Linked DNA regions of Bombyx mori. The protein of the gene in region 1 binds, or shares a complex with, the protein of each later gene. Links are inferred from orthologs where the notes say so. Each region holds a gene or a part of one and is shown in the gene's direction. Other genes may lie near its edges. The genes, in order: mediator of RNA polymerase II transcription subunit 20 and mediator of RNA polymerase II transcription subunit 9.

Evidence for each region.
Region 2: mediator of RNA polymerase II transcription subunit 20 (region 1) and mediator of RNA polymerase II transcription subunit 9 share a complex: the UniProt entries of both Drosophila melanogaster proteins name them as parts of the mediator complex. The link is inferred for Bombyx mori from reciprocal best matches to the Drosophila melanogaster genes MED20 and MED9.

The regions. Positions count from the first base shown.
Region 1 is NC_085134.1:1,809,272-1,812,602, reverse strand, and holds the end of mediator of RNA polymerase II transcription subunit 20, read left to right. Parts: exon of another isoform or gene 1-66; coding exon of another isoform or gene 67-80; intron 81-469; coding exon 470-612; intron 613-1,401; coding exon 1,402-1,661; intron 1,662-2,391; coding exon 2,392-2,601; 3' UTR 2,602-2,651; downstream 2,652-3,331. UniProt on the Drosophila melanogaster protein: Component of the Mediator complex, a coactivator involved in the regulated transcription of nearly all RNA polymerase II-dependent genes.
Region 2 is NC_085116.1:15,850,657-15,854,092, forward strand, and holds mediator of RNA polymerase II transcription subunit 9, read left to right. Parts: upstream 1-1,593; 5' UTR 1,594-1,870; coding exon 1,871-1,974; intron 1,975-2,057; coding exon 2,058-2,163; intron 2,164-2,353; coding exon 2,354-2,494; 3' UTR 2,495-2,857; downstream 2,858-3,436. UniProt on the Drosophila melanogaster protein: Component of the Mediator complex, a coactivator involved in the regulated transcription of nearly all RNA polymerase II-dependent genes.

The DNA.
Region 1 (3,331 bases):
GCCTGCCCACTGCCATAGCGACTAAAATAATTTAATAATCTGTGCTTTGTATACAAACAATCTATAATGGGGGTAACAGTGTAAGTGTGCAAATTTAATAAATAGAACGTTATTATTGTGTGGTATTCCTATAATTACATTCATAAAAATATACCGCGATGTATAATACTAATACTAATAAAAGTAATAACTCTATGTAAAGGTAGAAAGTAAACTTCTTGACTTCATACGTTATCTCAAATTCTTCTTTAACCTTATCCGGTGTATGAAAACTATCCCCGAATAAAAATACATGTTAGTGTAGCTTATTTTTGACACAGTTTGGCCAGACTGAAGGAAGAGTATCATTAAAAATAATAACGAAACAAATCTATTTATTATGTTTTTGATACAACTACAAAATCTACCATAAAAAAATCGTGAAGAGTGGATTATATTTAATAAACTGTTTCAATTATTAACTTGACAGCTTACAGCAATATCCAGTGCCAGAGAACAAGACCGGAACATATGTAGTGGAGTTACTTACAAAGCGTATCTTAGCATTAGGGGCGACACAACAAGGACAGTTCCTGGTTGATTGCGAGAGTTATTTATCACATCCACTCATGGGTACGTGTTTACTGAATCCAAGCTAAAAGTAAAAAGAAAGACACATTCCACTTAGCGATTTATAGAGAAATCACACAGCCCATCGCCAATACATGGATATGACATATTTGAAAATATTTCAGACATTACAAAGGTGTCAGCTAGTTTATTGTACTTAAAGTCCTCGTGGCCTATGTGGCCCGAAGGTGGGTACCAATTTTCGAATGAAATACGTACTTAACAAATATTCACGATTGACTTCCACAGTGAAGGAATAACATCGTGTAATAAAAATCGAACCCGCAAAGTTATAATTTGTGTAATTGCTGGCGGTAGGACGTCTTGTGAGTCCTCACGGTTACCACCATCACACCTATTTCTGCTGTGAAGCAGTAATGCTTTTTGGTTTAAAGGGTGGGGCAGCCGTTGTAACTATACTGAGACCTTAGAACTTATATCTCAAGGTGGGTGGGGCATTTATGTTGTAGATATCTATGAGCTCCAGTAACCACCATCCATCCACTTAACATCAGGTGGGATGAGAGCTCCCATCTAAGCAATAAAAAATAAAATGCAAGGAATTTATAAAAACCAAAGCTAATCGTGTACTTGATAGTTGAATTGAAAAGTTGATGAGATGCTGATACCAATATTTATTATCTTTTCATCAAATTCAGCCAGACCACTTAACGGTTACCATTACTTGCATACGCTTGTGGAAATTAACAATACGAAACACACTTACCTAAAGTTTTGTCTAATGCTGCTTTTAAAATTTCTGACAGCAAAAACGTAACTCAAATATTCCAGGTACAACAAAAACAGTACATATATTACACAACTCTGAGCAGCCTGCGTCTGTCTTCTCAATCCTTGAAAGTGGCACGAAAAATATTCACGTCATAGCTGACGGACTATTTGACTTGTTAATGATGAAGTTGTCTCAGCATTATACTTCTAAGAAACAAACCAAAATCGAGAGCAAAGGACCTAGGTTTGAGCTCGGAGATTTCTGTGTGAAGCTCGGATCAGTTACTATGAATCAGAATTTTAAAGGGATTTTGATTGAGGTGAGTGAATTGAATAATTAGTGAATAGCTATGTTAATATATGTGAACACTTGGAGGCATCCAGAACGTCCGTCACTATATCTATAATAGTACATAAAGATAGATGGAGAAATACGTTCCTAAAAAGAATACTTCCGTAATATTATGTTAAAAAAATCTTTGTTTTTTATAGATTGCTGTTGTTGTCAAAGTTTTCAAAATTTGCGTAGTGAATATTAGGGACCATGAAAATTATATCATACTTGACATTGGCTACCTTAATACATGAGGTTGAAGTGCCAATTATATTAGATAACTGTTACCTATTATTTAAAGTGGAACACCTTGGTGGCGTGGTGGTGCCTTGTGGCAGAAATATGCCCAAAGGTCATACCTAGTTTTGGGGATTGAATAGGCTTGATAATTATAACAATATGAAGCTATTTTTTCTATGGAAATTTAATTGTCAGGCATACATTAGGCATCTCTTTTTTTTGAGTTTTCTTAGTATTAGATGTTCGAGCTCACCGTCTATCTGGTGCTAATTAATACTCAAAACACATTTTTGGCCAAGGGGCAACGGCTAGACTTTCATATTGTTGCATAGACTAGACTGGATGTGTAGGAGTCAATCTATCAATCAATTCAATCTATCAATTCTCTTTTCCCTAACTCTCTGTCATTGCCTCAATATCTCAGACTATATTGATATTATTCACAGTATCATTAGAATATGTTCTATAATTTCTAGGTAGAATACAGACCATGCGTAATGGCTAATGCGGTCTGGGGTCTGCTTCGAGAGTTCCTTCAAGGATTGTTAGGGCCAACTGTTCCGGTCCAACCTCCTCAGCATCTAATAAGCAGAATGAACGAAATATACACTCCAATAGACACAATATATCAGTATTTAGAACATTTCAGTGCTTACAGAAAGACTACAGGGATGAGAACGACATGAACTAAGTTGACTGTTTTGTGTTTTTTTATTAAATAAATATGTACATTTTACTCATTCGTTTTTAGTTGTTCTATGACAAATGTCTGGTAGTTATGTTTTAAGTAGGGACATAGAGTCAAGAGATTTTTTTAGAAAGTTGTCTCTGGCAGGTAGATTGTTAATAATGTTAAACTTGAGAGGTTCGAACTTTAAATCTTTCTAATGACATTAATCAGACAAATATTGTTACTATTCTATGTAGTGATCTCGTGGGGTTATTCTAGATTCACCCAACTAGTAGGTGAGATCACGGGGCTCAAACCTGGCGTCGTTGCCAACATGAACCTTAGCAAGAGCCATGCTTCGCAGAATCTACCACCGGATCGGAAACGCGACCCACTGAGAAGATCTGGGGAGAAACTCAGTGGGCTTTGTCTGTGGATTCATTTACTTGCCAAGCCCTTCGTCGCAAGCGAAGGGTTCGACGAGAACGATGACCGGTGCTTGGGGTACCTAAAAGCACCGTTAGTGGATCGGGAGGATCCGAAATGACGTGTTTTGGGCGACGTCGACTGTTTATCATTCGGTCCGCAGGATCGGGAATGTAATTACCGGCGGCTACGATGAGAGGGTTCTCGTGTCGTGCTGCTTTCGCGAAATGGCGCACTGATGTCGACTGCATATACTTACTGATGGACTCTAGGTCCAGGTCGTCGTGGAGGTCGATGTTTCTGATGTACCACGGGGCTCC
Region 2 (3,436 bases), on another chromosome or scaffold:
ATGACAAAAAATAGTTATGACATGAAATGAAATGAAATTAATTCATTTGGAACATTAATAAATTGACCTAAAATTAAATGAAATGAGATGAGATGATATGGGATGAAATATAATTTCAGTAAAATTGTGGTTATTTACTGAAACTTTTTCAGTAAACTTTTTAGACGATCCCGAGAAGCAACGTCCAGCAGCTTTATTTCATTTTCCCACATTGGTGCACTTTCACAGATATTAAATTATTAATAAACCACCGTTATTGTTAAGTTACACATTTAATCCTGAATAAACACTAAATAGAAAAATAAAAAAATAAAAAAACTTCGTTCCTCGTATACCCTGTCAGAAACAAAATAACACACAGCAACACACTCTTAACTCATATTTTAATATACGTACGAACCATAGAAAATGATTCGGATAGAGCCTGCTACTGATGTTTCGAAGTGCCATTTGGCGTTCTTAAAATCTGATGCGATTTCAATACTAAAACGTATCACTACAGAGCTTCTTGATTTAGAAAGAATGGGGTATTTTATTACCGTAGCACCTCTGATTGATATATTTTTAATTAATTAAAATCACTAAGCACATATTATAATTAGTTGAGTAAAAACAATTACCTTCAGCGTGAATAAACTTAGTAGAATTTTAAAACTTTCGTAGAGTCGGGCCTAAAATTTATGCAGAATATAATGATAGGTAAGTAGTTTAAAAAATTTCTATTTTCTTAGTCGATTCCAAAATCTTGGCAGAAATAGGAGAAGATAACTTGTCTGAGTTGTGCTATTTTCTTAATCCAGTGTTTCTACAAGTTTAATAAATAGCAACGGTTTCGTATTCGTGAAAGTGGATAAGATTAAGAAAATGGAACCAAGTTGTTGAACTTGGTTTTTCAAGCGTTTCTAAAAAGTTAAGTGACGAGTAAACTCTCACTATTGTTCAGACTGATTAATTTATTTCGTCCCATAAAACACCGATGGTCATATAATTTCATTCAAATTCATTTTATTTCAAACATTTTTTTCATTTTATTTTACTTTTCTTTAACAGACATTACTACAGCCTTTGTAAAAAAAAGATGTGTGGTGTCGTGGGACACCGGATAGGAACGAAGTTCCTTATTATAAAAATATTAATTTCAAGTTCTATTCGAGGTCTAAAGAAAATAATTATTCAGGTATACATTTTTATTATTTTATTTTTTATTGATAAAAATATAATAATAATTACATTACAAAGTTATCAACTTTATTTTATTCACAATGATTTATAAAAAATTATAATAATAATATACAAAGAAACAGCTATTTATACGAATTATAATAATAACCGTCATCACGTAGACTATACATTAGACACTGTATAGCCATCGTACTAAGAATATACATAAAAAGAGAAAGGTATTATACACTACTCGCTTGTGTATATGACTGTCGCGCCTGCGCACGTCTTATTTAACGGTTTTATTCCACGGACTTTTTCTTACGGTTTTACTATCACATTTTTTTCAGTTCGGACGTGCAGCAAAATCCCTATCTCCTCCAAGCCTGCCGTAAAGAACTTCGTTCCAAAAATTTCGTGTATGAGCTTTATTTCCTTTGCTTGTCGAACACCGATCACACAAACATTCGACTTATTCTCCGCGATTTCGTCCATAGTCCATTGCTGTCCATAGATAACACAATAACACATCATTATTTTTGTCGTTTTCGGTTTTGTGATGGTAAAGAATCTACCTACTTTTTTACGTACCTAGGTTTATGTGTTTAATAACCATAATCTAATAAATTTATAAATTAATAAACAACGTACGTATAATAAAATCTGTTACATAATAAGCAAGTGAAAAATTGTGCTTAAAATTTGTACAATGGAAAACAACACAGATCATTCAGAACAGACGAACTACAGTCCCCTGACTGTTGAGGATGTAGATGTAGACTTTTTACCGATTGTATACGATATAATACGAAGGTATTTTGCGTATTATTTGAGACAAACTAGATTTGCTCAAGTTCATTTTGTATTTTCTGGTGCTTTAAATGTTTTTATTACAGCGTGGAGAGAGATTTTCACGACAACGCGTCGAAAATACGCGAGTCCCACGAGTGCAGTCATAGAGTTCTTGAATTACAAAAGAGGCTAGAAATAGCTAAAGCTCAGGTGAGATTACTTTCAAATACTGGAAACATACTTGGTATTTAACATTTGTAATGTAAAAATAATATGCTAAGTCAGCATAATTTTTGTATTTTGAGGAATCAAATTTATCATGAACTCATACACAAGTATCTGCCATAATATATCATCAACCAGTACACAATTATCTGCAATAATATATCACTCATTTCAGATCAGGAGGCTCCCAGGTATAGAATTCAACAAACACGACCAGCTGAAGCAATTTGAACTGCTCCGCACTCAGCTGAGATTAAAGCGTGAACTCTTACAGAAGTATCGGAATATGTGCTCATTTGAGACATCATTCAAGTGAAGATGCCTCTACGTGCGCTGCTTAAATACTTAGCCAATAATGAACGAATTGTACAGAAGATTGCAGAGTCCTACCCTGTACGAAGAGCAGCTCAGTTAGCTGTCTCAGTATTTTACAGAGGGAAGGAAAAGCTCTCTGATGTTGATCCACAGAAAGTTAATAAATTTATAGAGTTTTTAAAAAGGTTCAGTGCAAATTTGAAGGAAGGAGTACAGGATGCAAAAAAACAACTGAAAAAATAATAATAGTTCCTTGGATGTTTTTGGCTAACCATGGATTAGTTGCTGTTGATTGTAATTCACTATCAGTAGTGTCCTTTACATAATATAACTACTAAATTAGATAATAAAAAACTGTAACATAGTTAGAGCTATTTTTATTTCACTCACTCTGAACAAATCAATAAAAATATAAACTTTACTTAATTCTAAGAAAAAATCACAATATTGCAATGGTATTCATTGTAAATGTCAAAATATTGAAAATATATTTACTTTTAGAAAGCAGCTAGCTTCACTAATTTTATTGCGATTATAAGGTTTTCAGAGTTAAGGCAATGATGATTCAAAACTCTGATCTCATTAACTTTAATTTTTATTTTTAAGTGTTCAAATATTTTAAGTGACCCTAAAAGATTAAGCTTAGTGCTGTAAAAATATATACTTGAGTTTTAATTAGTGTTATAAGAACCTCGAGGTTATTAGTGATTTAACTTGCGAAAATATGCCGACCCATTGTGACAGGTGGATTAGCGGTATGGCTTGAGGCTGTCTAGATTAATCAGTGTCACTACGTCCCCAGAAAACGACAGGAGTTCTACCCTTGGTAGTAAAACTACTAAATTGTACTATGCAACAATCACTAGAAAAACCTTTAAGTTAGATAAAAAGATCAATATAGATTTTAGATTAATTTGAATAGTATGTGCCACTTTCCAGCCAG